Linked DNA regions of Drosophila melanogaster. The protein of the gene in region 3 interacts with the protein of the main gene of each other region in a pairwise test. Each region holds a gene or a part of one and is shown on either strand. Other genes may lie near its edges. The genes, in order: CG9467, Lim1, bin3 and Syx16.

The links.
Region 1: the proteins of bin3 (region 3) and CG9467 interact in a two-hybrid assay, tested with the Drosophila melanogaster proteins (one large-scale study listed by BioGRID).
Region 2: the proteins of bin3 (region 3) and Lim1 interact in a two-hybrid assay, tested with the Drosophila melanogaster proteins (one large-scale study listed by BioGRID).
Region 4: the proteins of bin3 (region 3) and Syx16 interact in a two-hybrid assay, tested with the Drosophila melanogaster proteins (one large-scale study listed by BioGRID).

What each region holds. Positions count from the first base shown.
Region 1 is NT_033777.3:9,797,249-9,802,685, forward strand, and holds CG9467 (uncharacterized protein), read right to left. Parts: upstream 3,779-5,437; 5' UTR 3,483-3,778; coding exon 3,421-3,482; intron 3,343-3,420; coding exon 1,212-3,342; coding exon of another isoform or gene 1,041-1,211; 3' UTR 521-1,040; downstream 1-520. Other genes in the region: CG8526 (uncharacterized protein), read left to right, coding at 4,232-4,328, 4,381-4,604, 4,666-5,437.
Region 2 is NC_004354.4:8,802,801-8,807,830, reverse strand, and holds the start of Lim1 (LIM homeobox 1), read left to right. Parts: upstream 1-2,026; 5' UTR 2,027-2,824; coding exon 2,825-2,867; intron 2,868-5,030.
Region 3 is NT_033778.4:6,212,956-6,217,623, reverse strand, and holds the start of bin3 (bicoid-interacting protein 3), read right to left. Parts: upstream 3,057-4,668; 5' UTR 2,873-3,056; intron 1,428-2,872; exon of another isoform or gene 1,021-1,427; intron 939-1,020; exon of another isoform or gene 887-938; intron 800-886; exon of another isoform or gene 730-799; intron 1-729. Other genes in the region: Ttc7 (tetratricopeptide repeat domain 7), read left to right, coding at 3,683-3,812, 3,873-4,155, 4,297-4,408, 4,466-4,668.
Region 4 is NC_004354.4:20,391,778-20,395,416, forward strand, and holds Syx16 (syntaxin 16), read right to left. Parts: upstream 1,975-3,639; 5' UTR 1,866-1,974; coding exon 1,785-1,865; intron 1,711-1,784; coding exon 1,577-1,710; intron 1,515-1,576; coding exon 671-1,514; 3' UTR 557-670; downstream 1-556. Other genes in the region: l(1)G0004 (lethal (1) G0004), read left to right, coding at 1-481; HERC2 (HECT and RLD domain containing protein 2), read left to right, coding at 3,103-3,639.

The DNA.
Region 1 (5,437 bases), on a different chromosome or scaffold from region 3:
CATAGCTTTAGGTTGAATTTGTGTACAAACTATTTGTATGAACGGCTCGACAATTGCTTCCGGGCGAGGGTGGGTAATCGCTCCAAGTATCTACTCCATTATTATTATTCTATCTCAGTACCAGTGCGTCCTATTTTAGGTAAATTAAAGGCAGGGGTCCCACTTGACGAGCCACTTGTTTAAATTGTTTATTAAGCACACCGGCGGTCGTTAGTGGGTTGTGTTTAGGCCAATGATATTTAAATGGCGGTCGGGGTTGGGTTGGGGTAACTTACCTACAATACACAAATGTATATTATATATATTTTTATATGTTTTGGCGTTTTTGCTGCTTTTTTACTTTACTGAGGTCCGGTATAGGCGTAGGATATCGTATATACACGTATTTACACACACAACACCCACGAGAATGCAAGCCAAGTATTTGTATTTGATAAATGTTAATGGAACACTTCAACCATCAAGAAACTAAGATAAAATGTTCAATAAATTATTGATGACACAACTCGCTCGCTATTTTGATATCTCTTTGTGTATAATTATCTTTATTTATATTGAATATGTATAGCTGTTTACTGGTTGCAACAAGGCGTATCATTATATTCATGTGTGGCATTGCATGCAACAGGACAGATTCGAATTTGAAGCAGTCGCTCTATCGATTTTAATCACAAGTAATCATCTTCAAGGTTGACAATCAACTGATTGGCTGTTTAATGAACTTTCTTTGCTTAAGGCAACCAATCTTATCCAAGCCGAACGATTTCGTATCTGTCCTGATGGAGCACCCTTTAGGAGAGTTGTGCTAATTATAGATGATCGGTTGCAGAAGTCTTATACTCTGGTTTACATGGTTTTAACTAATTTTCATAACTTTAACTAGAACAAAGACAGACGTTTTTTTTTTAAATTACTAACTGTACGATCCAAGTTTGGAGGAGCACAAAAAATGGGTTTACGGGATACACATTGCATTTGCAAACACATCGAGCACATATAATGGAGATTAATTGATTGGGTAAATGCCTGCTGGCAGTTCATCACGGCCCAGTGGCTGGACCGCGGGTGAGTCGCGTCACCCAGACGTAGATGAGGGCGCACACCACGAACTGCAGGAATATAAACTGGTAGTCGAAGATTAAGCTATACCTGTGAAATGTAAACGATGAAACGCGCCCGACAAGCGCCAATCAAGCAGCCGCTTCCACGTCTCATTCGTTGTTGTCGTCAGCCATCGGGATAGCAGCTGCCGGCGCCACAGCCTCTGGAAGAGCAGGTTGGACCTGAGCGGGCGGCTGGACGGCTTGGACGGCCATTGCCATTGCTGGTTCCCGATTTAGCAGGGCTATGTTGCTGGCTTTCATGCGGGCTATGGAGGAGGCCATTCCAGAGCCGTTGCCCATAGCTGATAGACACGGTGACATACAAGGTGTTGTGCATGATGAATTGCTGATTTCACACTGGTCAAGTAGGCGGAGAAGCTCATTGGTGTCGGGTCCGCCATTGATTTTCTGCTGCGGCTCATCCTTGGAGAGCAGCGCCAGTGCAGTGGTTAGGTCCCACATTTGAATAGCGCCGTTGCAGTGACCGGTGAGTATGAACCGGGACGATACCTCGCACTCGAGCACACAGAAGGCCGAAATTGTGGAGCTATCTACGGATCTAATGACGCACACCCGATCACCGTTGGAGGCCAAGCGTACGTACAGCTGATCCGTCTCGGGCACCACCTTTTGCACAAATATCATGTCGTCGTAGTCACCGTAAGGTCCAAAATCATTTCCAGCCGCATAGCTGTAGCTCGTATCGGTAGCTTCCAGCGACACGATTTTGAACGATGCTTCCGGCGTGGATCCCGGCTGGGTGGAGAGCATGCCCCGGAAGCGGGTCAGACGCCATGTTCGCACGTGGTGGTATTCGCTGCACACGGAGACGAGGTATTTCTCCGACAGCATCACCTTCGTTACGGGGCTTTGGTGCACAAAGAAGGTCTCGAACAGGTGTGGTCCATGGCCAGCTGTCTCCGGATGCTGGACAATGATTCGAACCGCTCCCGACTTTGTGCCATAGGCAATTTCAATCCAATTGCCACTTATGCTCGAGGTTTTTGGGGTAAGGTAGACCGAGATGGCCGTGATAGGGTCTAGTGTGACATCTTTGTAGAGCTCGGTAACCAGTAAATCATTGTCCTTTATCCGGAGCGGGAACTTCTGCATGTCTATGTAGTAAATGGAGCCGTTGTTGCAGCCCAGCAGCAAAAAAGAGCCTGCGGAATCGAATGAGAGCACGGGCACTAGGTCCTGAATCTGCCAGTGCTGCGTCATCGCATGCCAGACGCCGATCTTGCCGGAAGATGACAGGGCCACCAGCTGACTGCCGATAAAGAACAGGTACTCCACTCGCACATTTAAATTAAACGTGCCCACATCCGTTTTCTGGCCGCCCTCCTGAATGCTCCACAATCTTATCTGACTGCCGTAAGAAATGGCCACCATCTTGCTGGGCAGTGGCTCTGCTGCGGAAGTATTCACCTTTGAGTTGATGGCGATTCTTTCGATAGTGGCGTCGATGTGGGGCGATGTGAACACCTGCTGCCATCCGTTGGAGTCTTTCACCCGGTAGCAAGTCACAAAGTGTGCGTAAGCCACTGCTATCCAATTTTGGTGCGCCTTAATGATTTGCACTCGCAACGGGTCCACCCAGTTTGAGTTCTGCGTGGGACTGAATACCAGGCCAACTTCGTTTCGAAAGACTTTGTTCAGATCGGCCGAGGAGTTCCGAGAGTGGCGCATAAAGTCAATCGAGGGATTACGTGAGTGCAACATGGGAGCTGGGGGATTGGCACCATTGCCAGTGCTACCTGTGCGACCAAGGCGCAGATCCCATGATGAATTGCGCGAGTGTGAGGAGCGTGAGGGTTCGGGAACGCGCACCATGGACCCAGGACGACTGCCAATCGCACTGGCCGAAGTGGAGGGCAATGACTCGTCAACGCTAGTAGCAGCCACAGCTTCGTTTGACGGCATGGGCGGCGCCGCCAGAAATCCGTAGAACAGCAAATCACCGCAGGACGAGTGGTTAAGGTCTTCGCAGAGGGCCAGGCGCTTGGTCAGCGGCGTGATGCCATAGTACTCGGCCTCATGGCGCAGAGCGCGTATTTCGCAGTTCTTGATGTCGATGTCCTTGGTCCTTAAGTAGTTAAGTATGATCGAGAAGAGCGTCGGATCGCGATCAATAAAGATGGCATTGTGCTCGTCTCTGAGACTCGAGATGCGTCCGCTGAGAAGAGCCGTGAAGAAGGTGTCCGGGATCCACGTAAGCGTTTGCCGCGACGTGGAAAAGCTATGGATAGTGAGATGGAGTTTGCATGCGTCATCAATGCCGTTAGTGGGCCGTAATGTGTTGGTTCTTTGTTCTTACCGCTGACCACCCACATTGAGGTTGACCAGGTCGCTGCTGGAGGCATGCGTGAAGTGGGACATGGCAATCCGATGACCCGCGGGCTGCCGCAGCAGCGGACGGTGGGGATTGCTCTAAATGCGCCTCTATTTGTGTGGCTTCCGTGCTCCCAGCGCTCCAATCAGCAACTGATATGGCGGAGCAGTGGCAGCGGCGTCAGCGGAGCAGATAACTCGCGATTTCGGTACCCAACCCACTTGACGTGCGCTGCGGGGTGCAATTTATTCGATTAACTCTTTGTGCCAGGCTATTTATTTATTTATTATTTGTTGCACTGCACTGTAGAAACTAGGGATGGGCAAATTGGTCGTGACTGTTCCCAGCCATGACGAGTCACTGTTTACGGGGGGTCCCTGTTGCATTTAGTTGTTTTGCTGAACTTTCCACTTTTGATTTTGTATGTGTTAACTCACCAAGGTTTTTGATGGTTTCCAAACAACAATTCATCATTAAAAAATAATTAATATAGAAATAAAATTAATTTGGGCATCAGAAAGTATATGCATTTCCACAATTATAAGCAACGATATTTCTTGTGAAGCAGTGTACATCTCTAACTCTCGGTTAAATTCCCATGCAATACGGTCATACCACCTTTTCGTCAAGCAACGGTTTATTTCGCTTGGTGGTAAATTTGAAAATATTGTAAAGTTATGACTTGTATTAAGCATCAAAACAAAAAGCTCATGGATCTTGCTGTCACACTCTGAGCCTTTGGAACTACGCTTTAGTTTAGTTTCGGACACCACTCAAAATTTCGAAAAAGCCCAAAATGCCGGCGGCGAAGTGCGGTTGTTTGAAGAAGGAGGCTCGCGTCCATGTCATCTACGTGGGTGGAACCATCGGAATGATCCGCAACGAGTCCGGAGGTGGGTATATCAATGGCTCTTGTCCGTGTACTAATCAATTGTTTCTCATCAGTACTGCACACCGCGCCCAAGGTGCTGGCTCGGCAGCTTCAAGAGTTTCCCAGCTGCCACGACAGGAATTACACCAGCAAGGATAATGATGGTCCCATGATGGTGCTACCCGCAGTGTCTGGAGCTCCGTATAGAGTCCTTTACGATTTGATTGAGTTCTGCCCACTGATGGACTCCAGCTGCATGGGCTTCTGCGACTGGAAGCGCATTGCCAACGAAGTGGGAGTAAGTTGAGAGTCGAGGATCATCAGGTTAATACAAAATATGCAACTAACTTTTTTCGCAGAAGACATACAAGTCCTACGACGGCTTTGTGATCCTCCATGGAACGGATACCCTAGCCTACTCCGCCTCGGCACTAGCGTTCATGCTTGAGAGCCTGAACAAGCCCGTGGTATTCACTGGGGCACAGATTCCGATCTTTGAAGCCCGCAGCGATGGGCGGGAGAACTTCTTGGGCGCACTTCTCATAGCAGGAAATTACAGTATACCCGAAGTGCTGGTCTTCTTCGGCAACAAGATTCTACGTGGCTGTCGCTCCACGAAGCTCAATTCTGACTCTTTTCACGCACTGGACTCACCAAATTTTGCACCATTGGGTCGGGCGAGTGTCAACATTGAGATCAACAGCCGCCAAATCTTCCGACCGTGCAATATTAAACCATTTTCACTTCATTCGGAACTCGAAAAGAACGTGGCGCTGCTGCGTATTTACCCGGGAATAAGTGCCAGTGTGGTGCAGGCAATCCTGAAAGAGCCAACGAAAGGTGTTGTCCTCCAGACCTTTGGGGCCGGCAATTTTCCGGTTAATCGTGAGGACTTGCTGGACGAACTGAGGGAGGCGGTTCACAGAGGCGTTATTATTGTCAACATTACGCAGTGCTCGGCGGGCATGGTGGCCAACATTTACGAGACAAGCCAGGGTCTGATGGAAGTGGGCGTAATACCCGGCTACGATATGACTCAGGAGGCAGCCTTTACCAAACTGGCCTATGTGCTGTCCAAGCCGGAGTGGGACATTCCCAACAAGAAGAAGGTGATGCTACTAAGTTTGCGCG
Region 2 (5,030 bases), on a different chromosome or scaffold from region 3:
TAAATATCTTATTCCTCGAGAGTAGTTATGTAAGTGTTTTTGCTTCAATATCCTTTTTATTCCATTCCTATTATGTCCTCATCCCTTTTGCTCTTACTAAATTTGGGGCAAAGCAGTTTTCAAGGCCGTCAAAGATCAACTGATTTCGATAACTTTTCGATAGCGCAGAACAAGTGAAAAGTGACACGCACACGCAAAAACAAAAAGCAAGCACTTCACAGCTTAACACCCTAATGTGCAATATTTTTGACTACCCCACATCCACGCACACAGCAAACGGCGCTCTTTAACCCACCACAGCCCCCTTATTTTGTGTCGAACATCTTCTTCTTCCTATCGAAGTGTGAGTGAGAGGGAAGACCGTAAGGAGTGAATGAGAGCGGGAGCCTCCTCCCCGACCTTTATAATGCGTTCTCTTTTACTCTCACTTATTTTATGCATTTTTTTTATTTTATCCAGTTTTGTCTTTTCTTGTTGTTTGTTTAGATCTTTGGCATTTTTGCAATTTGAATCCTATATTATTTCTTATGGTTTTTATTGGTTTTTGTATTGGTTTATTTTTACGATAAGTGTCTTGCTATAGATTTATCTAAATCGAAAGCTTATTAAAATTGCATTTGTTAAAGAAAAAGAAAAAGATATAATATTTTGCACAATTTTAAATGTTTTTTTCTACTAATTTTTTGTTACTTGCAATTTATCTAACACTTTTTCTTTGCTTTTTTTTCTTCGCCTCCGTTTTTTTTTCTTGCTGTCTCCAGTGCGTTAAAACGCCAAAGGGGCGTCCCTCTCCAGCTAACGCCCCCACCACCCCCCGCCACTAGTGCTCTCCCTTTCGCACTGCTAACGACAAGTGACAAACACAAGTTGCAGAAGAGGCAGCCGAACAAAAACAACAACTAAAAATAAAAAAGAAGGAAAGAAAAAAGTTTTTGCGACCAACAGTTGACAGTCGAAAAGCATTTGACATTTTACCTTGGCACGCACACAAGCACCGCCAAGTGCGAAAGGGACAAAACGCGGGCAAATGTCACTTTGAAAAATGCCATTGGCCCGGCCAGCGAGTGTGAGCGAGAGGGCGCGACGGCCGGAGAGCGTGAGAGCGAGAGAGCGCCATTTTGCGCATCTCTCAATGAAGCAACAATAAAAAAACCAGTTGCTTAGCAACGCCCCCTCTAACCGCAAAAAAGAGAGCTGGAGAGCAGGAGAGCCAGTGTTGCAACAACAATGGGCAAAATGGAAGGGCAACAACAGCAACAAAAACCAAAAATATCCTTACAGGAACAACGCCAGCACCAATCTTGAGAAAAGGATCAAAAGCCCAAGATCAACAGAAGAATGTGTGTAGAATTTAAAAAAAAAGTGAATTTTTGGATTTTTAAAATCTTATGAATCTAACAAGCATCTAGTAAGGCTAACTAAATATTTAGTTATCATGCTAAATATATCAAAATTTTCAAAGAACTTATATTGTGTATTATCGAACAATCACCTAAATTAAATCCTAAAAAAGGAAAAAAAATTAAGATTTCTTGATATTTTTTTCCAATTGTTATGAAATTGTATATCCTTTTCCAAAATATTTTTAATAATAATCTAGATATGCATACCAAATATTCTAGTCATATTTTTTCCATTTTTTTAGAAAACGTTTTGAAAAACAATTTTTTTATTTAAGAATAATATGATTTCTTCATGCCCAACACGAGAGAGCCAGGAGAAGCGACGGAAGCGAGAGCGAGAGAGCCTGCGACTCCATTGCAGCGCCGCCAGCAGCGCAGTCGGCGTCGCAGCAGCCCCAGCTCAACATTCGCTGCATCTCGCTCTGGCGCAGGCGAAATATGCGAGCACTGCTTGCCGCATTCGGTAGCACGAGTGCGAGCGATGCGCCTGCTAGCATCTCGCTCGCACCCAGGCGCGCCATTCGTCGCCGCTTCGGCTCGCCGTTCGTGTGTGTGCGTGTGCGCTCGGCTGGCAGCTATCGGTAATCGGGCCGTCCGCTTTGCCGTCGCGTTTGCCGTTTTCCGTTTTCAGTTTTTGTTTGACGTTCGCGTGAAGCGCCCGCAAAACGCAAAGCGCACGAGGCAACGCTCGAAAAAGGAGCCAACGCAGCCGTTTACCGTTAGTCAGCTGTTTACCGTTCCGCCGCGAGATCGAAAACCGAGAATTTTTGCCGTTGTTCAAATTTTTTTGCAAGTGAGAATCTTGAACAACAAGAAGAATATACAACACATAAATACAACAAAACCAAGGAATCGCCGAAAAGCCGATAGTGCAAAGTGTTTAAAAAGAAAAGAATCAATTTCATATACAACAACTAAAGAAATACTGGAATATAAGGCATAATAGAAGCGGAGGAAGTTTCTTCAACTCAAAGAGGAGCGGAATTTCGCGCTTTGTTTTTGTTTTGCCAAATTTGCCGCCGGCACACACGTGCTATCCCCCTCTTGCTCGCACCTTGCCACCCAGTCTTTATGTGCGTTAACCGTTAAGTGTGCAGTTGGGGCCCGCTCCTATCTTTCTCTCCCTCTCTCTCTCGCTTCCGCACCCGCACACACACACATATATCCACACCCACGCGCGCCTCGTTCACATACGCACACACACGCGGGACTTAACCCATTGACGGCCCCCCCAAAAAAGCAGTCACTCTTAACCCCCCCGAAAAAAAGAAAAACTCCATCCCCCCGGCATCAAGATATTCGACAACAAAATTCTCACCGAGGCCTCAAAAGCGCCCCTGAGGGCCGTCGCACTGGCGTCATATCTGGGCGACGGGTTCGCCGCCCTCGGTAGCCGCGCCCCCCCGCCCAAGGACCATCTGATGGCGTTCGGGGCGGTACTACACACCAGCCAGCACAATATCGGTAAGTGATCGTTTTGGGGAATTTAGGCATTAAGCGGTTAAGGGTCCAGGAAAACATAGAAAATCTGGGGGGTTTGCAGTGAGAATCCCAAACAGGCAAGTTCTTAAGGTTAGTCACATATAGGATACTGCAATCGAAATCATTTCATCCAAGAATCAGCACTAAATCTTTGAGTTGTGCTTGTAGTTCTATAGAATAATATCATTGGGAAGTCAAGGATGAAACATTTTACAGATCGAAAATAGAAGTTGTTTACATCTAATCTAGATTAAGTAATATTCATGATGTCCTCTATCGAAATAGAATGAAAACACCTGTTTGTAGGCTTCGTATAATATTTAAATTGTTTATAAAATCTGTAGACGAGTGATCAATGACACCAATGACACATTTCAAAAATACTTTTAAAAGATGGCAAAGAAGTGAATTTTCGAAAAATGTACTGACAAAAAAGTGGAATCTATTAAAAATGGCTTGATCGCTATGCCGACGGGATGTGGTCTTAGATTTTCAACTGGTGGTAGAAAGACATAAGAAAAGTAGGGTCGAGTGCGGTCGAAAGTCCTTAAAAGGAAGTCAACCCCTTGAAGGATCGGCGAAATGCGATCCCTAGGATGGTGGGTTAATACAATACCGCTTGCCCGCAATGGGTTAAGATGGCCAAGGAGTTTTTAATGGCGACGGCTGGGCAGCAGCAAAGTTTTTGCACTTTTGAACTTGCTTCCCGTTTTTAGGGGACCGCCGGCGAGGAGGAGAGGGGCGTCTAATGCCCCGTCGTCCATCTGCCGTCTCTTTTTCGCATTACCATTTTGTATGCTTTTGAAGTTCTTGTTCATCTGTTTTTGTTTCGGTTTTGTTTTTCCTCCTCTTGTTTTCCCGTTCGTTTTTGGACTGAAAAACTTTTGCGCAGTTGTCAAAGTTTTTCAGCTTCTTCTTCTGCCGTTCTTCCTCTACCCCATCTCATTTTTTTTGGCTTTTGTTTTATTTCATTTGCTCTCTGTCAAATTTTCACTTTTGCTGACTGTTTAATGTCAGGAACAAAAAAAAAAAAAAAAAAAAAAAATAGTAAAAAGGGAGCAAAAAGTTCAGAAATGAAGGCTCCCCTCTAGTTTTGTATTTTGTGATTAGTTGGTGAGGAATATTTCGTTTATATGTATGTATGTAGCTCCCCATCAATTTGAATAACTATAAAAAACATTTATAAACTACAAAATTAAGGATCTGCAGAGATTTAGAGACCGAACACTCTTTTCGAGTATATTTTGGATTCTTATCAAAAGAAATGAAATGAGAAATGATTTAAGTACATATTAGTAAAAATGTAGTAAGGTATTTTATACCACAAAAAATTTTTCAAAAATATTCTAAAATCCTCAATAGCTTCGTTTTCGAACCAGTGAGGTTCGATGGAAATTGCAACTGCAAATTCTCCATTTAACTTGTTGACATTGGACATACAGCGGCCGACACCTTACTTCCCCCATAAATTGGCTAGAGAACTGTTGGGGTTTTTGGGCTTGGGGCCTGCAGCTCCGGGGGCGGTTCAAGTCAAAAGCTGTCGACATTTGACTGGAAAATGGATGTTCAGGAAGCCGTAGACCCGCACAGTGGGCCACCTTACGACGGCGGACTGATGCCAAGTGGAGTCGTAAAGCTGCCAAGCTTTCTTCTTCCTGCTTCTACTGTTTCTCGGTTGGATTTTTTTGTTTTTGTTTTATTTCTCGCTCATAGACATACCCATTAGCTAATGACTAAGTGTTGGCAGTTATGAACTTAACTTGCATTTAGTTGGGGAAAACTACAAAGTAAAGTACCACTGAATATAACTCGGCTTAATGAAGATAACTTTTCCGCGCAGTAGCTGTATCTTTTTTCGAAAGTTCGTAAAGTAATTTGGAATCAGGAAAGATATCCAATTTTTTATGGTATAGTTAAGGTTTTGAAATGAGATGGAAAAAATGTATTGGAAATACTTAAGATAGGATACCAATTTAGGTCGTTGAATCTTTGGTAATGTGTTTATTCTTAAGGAATTTAGTTTTCAAAACTTCAATAGAATAGGGTAACCCCTCGTCGTTCAATTACCAATATCATCGGCCATTTCTCTGGTCGACTGCTCATTTTTCTTCGCATATATCTTGGTGGCAGCATCTTTTCAATTTT
Region 3 (4,668 bases):
ATAATTATTATTTATCGTTTGCACTTCCACTAGCTGAGTAACAGGTATCTGATGGTATATGGGCTCGACTACAGCGTTCTCTTTTGTTTCTTTTAATTTCGCGTCAAGATTTTTAACTTTCTTTTCACACTTTACGAAATAAAATGCTTAAGGTGTTTTACTAAATTACAATACTGCAAAACGCAGTCAATTTGCGGTATATAAGTGAGTAACTTAATCAGATCCGCAACACATTAATAAATTTTACATGGTATTAACTGCAAGGGACTTAAATTTCCGACGGTACAAACTGGAATGTATGTAATACTAATGTTACGCGACCAGAATAAGGTACCTCATACTTAAAGTAAAGATAATATATTTCTTATGCCATTTAATAAACACTTTTATTTAATCAAAATTTCTTAATTTTTACTTATTTCCAAATCGCCATGTTTAAGTTTTCTGTTGAATTTCCCTAATACCTGCATAGACTGCCAACATCTAGTGTTGGTGTTGCGACTATAATATTTTTAATTTGTTGCTTTTTATTGTTAACAACAGCAACAGGTTCGTTGACCAGTCAACGAGCGCTCAGAGAGCAAAACAAATAGAGATATGTAGATACAAACAAGGTTCAAAGCAATCAGTTACCCTCTACTCAGAGTGTTGGAGCGATTTTTCGAAAAGGGTTCGTTTTTTTTTAGAAAGTGTCCAGAAATAGCATTTCGTTTGGTAAAATGTAAATATTTTACAATGTAAGCCAACCAAAATGAGCACAAAAATTAGATTACAATAAATACATCATGCACATAGAAAGGTAACAATTATTTTTGTTGTCAAATAATATATTGCACAGTTTGGGGAGCCTACTAAGAAGATAATATAACATATTTACATATATCAGATGGGCCTTACAAAGTTTAGAGATGTCCTGGGACTCCTAAGATGTCATCAAGGTACCCATCCAAATATTTTAAAAATACTGGATTTTTACCTTTTTCTGGTTATTTTCTTTCTTACTTTTCTTCATAATTACAGATTTTTTCACATCAAGGTCATCGCGATGTGGGTAGTTCATTAACGAACGCCTACAAAACGAAGCTTCACTAATGAGAGTTCGCCGGCTCGTTGACAGATGCATTGGCGCGGATTAAGAATGTGCAGAAGCAAACAAAGGATTGCGGGACCTAAACCAACAACAGCCGGGACAAAAACTGCAGCGGCAATGCAGCAGGAACAATGAAACAAACGGTCTTTTGGCTATTTCACCCATCTTATATTCTAACTTGTCCTACGCACATTTTATATAGCTCCCTAAAAACTGAGAGAAAATGATATAGCCTAAATAAGGAAAATTCAAAATACTTAAAACCAATAAACTTGTTACTAGATAAGTTCCTTCATAATGGCTATAGATAATAGTAATTAACTATTTTGGAAGTAGCAACCTGATTTCTTTCAGAGGATAAGAAAAAAATTACTTTTAAAAAGGTAGTTCCTTTTAAAATTTTATACATTTTCTATAAACTGTAGTGAAAGTTTTTATAAGTGTATCAAGTTAAGAATGCAAACGGGAACCATTCACCCACTACTTTAAAATTGTTAAGCCGCCTTTTTTCAACTTTTCAGTTTTGCGCTTACTTTCCTTTCCATAAACGGGAAACTCATAGAACAAGACACTGTAACCATAATCCACATGCGTGTAATACCTTTAATGTCACTTTTAGCTAATATTCGGAGTGACATGAAAATGAGAAAATAATTTTAATTTTGAATTTTATTTGGGAAAAAATAGCTTCGTGGCCGAATCTTCCTTGTATCTGTTACTTTTCAACAAATCTATATAAACATTTATGTATATATATTTAAACATCTTCTGGCTTGTTTAAATTTGACTACGGTTTCCATGATACTCAAATAAATGAGTGTCTTGATAGAAAAAATGAAAAAAATATTTAGTTCGTAATTACACTTTATAGTGTTTTGTAGGAAAGTGTTAACTTTGTGACAAAGCGCACCAGGGGAGCGTTCGAAGTGGACTCCTATTTTTACTTTTTCTATTAAAATCTATTTTTAATTTAATACTTATAGCAGCTCCATAAGACAGTTTGATTTGTTTTTTGGCAGTTCGGGTAAAAGAGCCACTGTGCATCGAACTGCTAACCCACATATCCGACCCGTTCGCCCCACCATTATTATCCCTGGAACCAACTGCCCACCCCCACCACCGCTTTTGACGAATTCCTTCGGTTGGGGTGAATAATATGCTCTCCGAAGCCTAAAAGATTGGCAAGAAATTTGAAGAATGAGAGGAGCCAAAAGCCTGGAATCTGACATGGATGTTTTGTGTTGATTTGTATATATGTTTTACCTAAGATTTTGTATATGGAAATGCAAATGGAAATATTGCACATTCGAAAAGCAACAAAAACTCAAAAAGGCCGGGCAAAAAAATAAAAGACTGGCAATTAACTTTGACTTCTGAGGGGCACGCGATAAAAGTTATCGATGACTGCGAGAACGGTTGGCATGAGGGGTCACTCAGGAAAAACAAATTTGATTGCTTAAATGGCTCCTAAAATTGAAAGCAAAAGTGGAAGTCAACTCGATAAGAGAGGGTATACGGGGACCACTCTTCTGGTCCATATCCTATTAGAAGGTTGAAATGCACTTAACGTTTGTTTATGCACACACACACAATTAAGAAACTACTCTTGTCCAAATACTCTGCCTGGACTACTTCCATTTCTTCATAGCTTTCCAACTGATTGCTAACTTGTGTGTGCTCGCGAAAAACAGAAACCCTAGGAACAGCTGAGTGTGCACACAAATCCACACGTGCTGCGCCTTTAGACAAAACAAAAATGAATCTTAAGGACAAAACACTTACCGCCCAGAAAGCCCCACGATTGCTCAGTGGCGACTTGAACTTTGTTTTCACTTTTCGTTTCGTTGTTGCCGTTAAATTCGCCACACTCTTGATAAAAAAAAAAAAAAACCGTAAAATATGATTCCGTTCGCGGAGCTCTAATAAGTGCGTCAGTCTCCTGCAAGAAAACACTTACAACTAACATATTTTTATATATATTCTCGGTTAACAGAGCCCACCAGTGTTGCCAATTTTAAAAATGAAAAAATTAGTAATCGAAAAACAATGAAGTTTATAATAGTATGTACATATGCATATGCATAACTGTTGTAAGAAAACAACATAAAATGAAGACATCTTGCTAATATGAGGGATAATGTGATAATGTTCTATTTGGCGAGCAGAGGTTTCATATTTTTAAGAAAGAGCTACCACACTGGGTCTTATCGATTCAATTAACAATATGAACAGCTTCTGATGGATTGCACACGCTTGTGGAAAAAAAAAGATGGAACAGCTGACCGAGAGTTAGCATGTTAGCAGCTAACAGGGGACGGACCACAGATGTCTTAACAGCACTGGTACACAAATCGCTTTACAGCACGCTGTTAGCGGGACTACCGATAATAGTTGCTGTCGATAACAGATGCTGCCATATGTGAGAAAGAAGAAGAGCGAAGAAAACAGATAACTCCAATGTTTGCAAAACAATTTGATTAGTCTTGAAGGAATCCGCTTTAGGCTCTTAGGAACCCGCTTTATAGCGAGCACAGGCACGCACTGGCACACACAGCAAGCAAAGAGTGACAACATTATCCGTGAAGTGGACATATGGCCAACAAGAACATGCGTAACACCACAACCAAAGTGGAGGCCCTGATTGAGAGCTGTCGCAGCGAGGGCAAGTGGCACCGGGTCATCGAGCTAACGGATGAACTGAAGACCGGGTCCCCGCACAATGGTAAGAAGATTTCCGCTGATGACGGTACTCCTGGAATGACTGCCTTCTTTCGTGGAACAGAGTGCCTGGCCAACTTTCTGGTGGGGGAAGCTCGTCTGGAGAGTTACCTGGAGGAAAACGCTCTCGCGTCAGACTCAAATTTTGGTCGCGCCAAGTCTGGATTGGCGGAGGCCCGGCGTTTCCTTCACTTGGCTTTGGGTGAGAGTGGCCAGAAGGCGGGCATCGCCCTGGACGCCTATTTGCTGCTGGCCAAGCTGTGCTTTGCCTGCGGCGAGTATGAGCAGAGTCTAGACAATTTCGTCAAGGCAGAACTCAACACGCTTGCCGAGAAGGAGCTGACCCTGTAAGTTGGGAAAAGGTTTTCTAATCAAAATGTTCTCATCTACTACGTGGGGACTTGCAAATTAAGATGAATGTACACATCAACTCTTAATTAATAGCAAATTTGCAAAACTTATCACTTCTGCTTACATATATATAAAAGTCGCAGCCTGAAGATCCTTGCGGAATCGTATGCCATCAAGGGATTGTGTCTGGAGCAGCAGACTACGAAGCCGTCATCTAAGTTTAAGAAGGCCGAAAAGGACACGGAAATGGTAAAGTCCTCGATTTCAGTTTTAAAACGTAACTGATTTAATAATTTCTTACTCCAGATTAGCTGTTTTGAGCGCGCATCTGATCTGGGGCTGCTCTATCTGCAGGAATACGATCTCGTTAGTGGAAGCAGTGGCTCGTCCAACAACTCGACAGCTGGTTCTACGTTGAATGTAAACGCCTCTACTGTGCAGCCGTCGAGCAGCAGTTTTGCAATCAGCAGTACAATACCGGCGAGTGGTCCAAGTGGACTGGAAATGAA
Region 4 (3,639 bases), on a different chromosome or scaffold from region 3:
GAAGATCTTTACGCCCGTGGTGGAGCACATGAAGCTGCAGATCCGCTTCAACATGAAGGCGCGCCAGGTGGAGCTGCGTGTGGGCCCCGAGACGCCGGACATAGCCAACCTGCAGCGCGGCGCCGACTTCGTGCGCGCCTTTCTCTGCGGCTTCGAGGTGGACGACGCCCTGGCCCTGCTGCGTCTGGAGGACCTGTTCGTCGAGTCGTTCGAAATCAAGGACGTGAAGACGCTGCGCGGCGACCACCAGTCTCGCGCCATCGGCCGCCTCGCCGGCAAGGGCGGCCGCACCAAATTCACCATCGAGAACGTGACCAAGACCCGCATCGTGCTAGCCGATAGCAAGATCCACATCCTGGGCAGCTACCAGAACATTCAGCTTGCGCGCCGGGCCGTCTGCAACCTAATCCTCGGCTCGCCGCCCAGCAAGGTGTATGGCAACCTGCGGGCAGTCGCCTCGCGCCTCTCGGAGCGCATGTGATTGGGAGAGCGGACTGGAGTGGACTGGACTGGAGTGGAGTTCGACTTGAGAGGGAGTAGTTGCGGTTTTTTTTTTAGCATTAGCAATAAATAATAAATATAATAACATGTATTCAAACATTTACAATATACACAAACACACACAGCGAATGACGGGAATGAGGTCGGCCCACTGGAGGCGCGTGGGCAACTAGAGCTTGGTCAGGATGAGCAGCAGCAGCATGAAGAATGTGACCGCCGCCAGGACGAGAATGACGCACATCTTGCGGTTCTTGCGCTGATACATTTCCGCCTTGTGCAGCTGGCGCAATCCCTCCGAGACGCGCGTCTGCGTCTGCTCCACGTTGTAGTCGATGCGGTCGAGCACAGTGCCCTGCTCCTGGACCATGTGGCCCAGGTCCTTGAAGATGTCGTTCAGGTCGTAGATGGACTTGACTATCTTGGTCACCTCCTGCTCGCGGTGCTGCGCCACCCGCGTGTTCTCCTCCTCGAAGAGCAGCAGCTGCTGTTGGGTCATCCGGCTGGCCGGCGGCCTTTGGAAGTGATCGTCGATGGCCTGCTCGTCGTCCTCGAACAGATAGCCGTTGCCGGACTTGCCCTCCGCCGGCGGCTGCAGAAAGTTGTCGAAGGAGTCGACGAAGTTCTCGGCGCTCTGCTCGCCCAGCTCCACGTTTGTGAAGACGTCTCCAGCGCCAGCGCCGCCGCCGTCGTCGAAGTACTTCTGCGAGCGCTCCTCGCGGGAGTTCAGCTGAAGCAGGTAGGCATTCTGGCTGGCACGGAACTTCACCGTCAGCTCCTGCAGCTGGAGCAGGGCGCAGTGTACCGCGTTGACCGTCAGGCACTGCTCCATCTTGCTGCCCACGCCGATGCTGCTGCGCACGCACTGGATGTGCCGGTGCGTGGAGGTGATCAGCTTGGAGACGATTTGGCTGAGCACCTCGATGTCGCACTCGTCGTCCCGCTGATCATCGAAGGCGGGTCGCAGGAGGTGGCGTGCGTGCAGGGAGCCCAGTTCATCCAGCTTAGGCTTGATCCTGCAAACGAGTGATGGGAGTGAAGTTGAACCCTGCGCATGGACTACTGTTTGTTTACCCACTTAGACATGGTGTACTGCGCCTCCTCGAACTTGTCCAGCCAGGCGGGCGGCGTGCCGTAGTCGTCCTGCAGCTCCAGTCCCTCCTCCGCCTCGCGCACCGAGTGCTTTAGAAGGCGCTCCGCATCGCTGCCCCTCTGGAAGACGGAGAAACGCAAAACATATGTTAGTTGATGATAACAGTGAAGACCCCAGACGGAGACGCACTCACCCGATCGTCGTAGTGATTCCGGTTCTTGGACGCATTGTTGCGCATGATGACGAACACCTCCGTCAGGTTGCGCGACGTCATCCTGGCCGTCTGCTCCCGATTTCTTGGGGATTGGAAGGATTGATCCAAGTCCGCTGAAAACTCAATCAGATTTTTTCCAGTTTCGTTTTGACACAGCAGCGCAGTGTGCCCGCTGACTTGCTCGCCCAGAATACCGATAGTCGCCACGACGAACTGGTCACCCTGGCCTGAACGCACCGTTACATGTCCGAGAATTATACTTATTTTAAATATTATTTTCTTATTATCTGTAGAATCTGTACTTTATATGTATACTCCTAAACATCCTATTTGCGAAAGTGATTTTTTCAATATACGGATTGGATAGCTCCAATAGAAATATTCGGAAATTACAGAATATAGTATTGCTTTGTTGAGTTTCAACAATTTATAAAGTTAATTCTGTACACACCGTCACGTAAATTGAAATGCAATACTTTTAGCAATAAAACGACCGTAATAGTACAATAAAAGTATTCAATAATTTGTTATGTGCGTTCTCTTTTTTTGCGTTACGAAAGAGTAATATAACCGAATGATATTGTAAATGATTTTAGAATCAAGTACATTTTAGGCTAATGTTTAAAAATTACAAATTTACAGAATTTTAGGGAACTCATTATGAGTTTGGCTTAACGTTTTCTAATAGCCAGCTTCCACTGTACTGGGTTTTAATCCGTGACACAAGCCTGTGACTTAAGAACACTGAAGAGCTATCGAAAGGCAAAACATATCGATGGCTCGACCCCCTGATATCGATTACTTGATAGCTCAGTCAGTTTGCACCTCCCCCTGATATCGATTGCCATCAAACAATTTTATTTCATTTTAAAATAATTCCTTGATTTCAAATTGCATTGTACTGGTAACTGGCACTTCCAATTGTGACCCGAAAGCAGCAAGCGCGGAAAACGGAGAGTTCAAGTGCGGGTGGAAAAGTCAGGATGTCATAACTAACTCCGAGCGGAACAACGAAATGAGCAGTGCGGACAAGGATAACAACGAATTATCCTGATCCTGGACGCCCGATTGCAGTTGTGTGTGTGCTTGCGCGCGTGTGCGTGTGCTTAGTGTGTGTGCCAGTGACGACATTGACCCGCCTTCGCCCCCGCCCCCACCCGCGCTCCAACCCACCACCACACCCCCCTTGAAGGGGTAACTGTGCCATGCCATTGTCGTTGTTGTGGTTGTGGTCGAGCTCGTTTCTAGCCTGACTTCGGCGGTGGAGCACTAGGGAAGGCAACACGAAAACACAAACATGTTCAACCGCCAGGCGAGCGGAGGAGCCGGATCCAGTGGCCAGGGTGCTGGGTCCAGCCAGACCGCTTCTGCAGCACCAGTCTCCGCTGGAGTTGGAGTAGGAGGGGGTGGAGGTGCCAGTGGAGCAGCGGCAGGAGCAGGCTCCGCAGCAGGATCTGGATCGGGATCAGGTTCCGGATCAGCAGCACCGCCCAGCCATTCGCCCGATCTCTACCTGCGCCCGCTGCCCTTTCTGGACGCCAAGTGGCTGCGCGCCGATCTCATCGCCTCCCTGCGCAACGCCGCCGACGGCGCCGTACTGTGGAACCATCTGATCCAGGACTGCGAGCTGGTCTCGTCGCCTACCGCGCCGCTCCTAAATGCCCGCGGACAACTATCCTACCTGGGCGACGATGGCAAGCACTACTGCGGCGCTCAGCAGCTCAAGTGCTCCTGCTGCCAGCCGGAGTACTGCGGTCCTCTCTCCGCCTGCAATTGCGACGGCTGTCGGCCTCTGGACTCGGACACGGCCATCAAAAAGCTTACCACCCAAGCT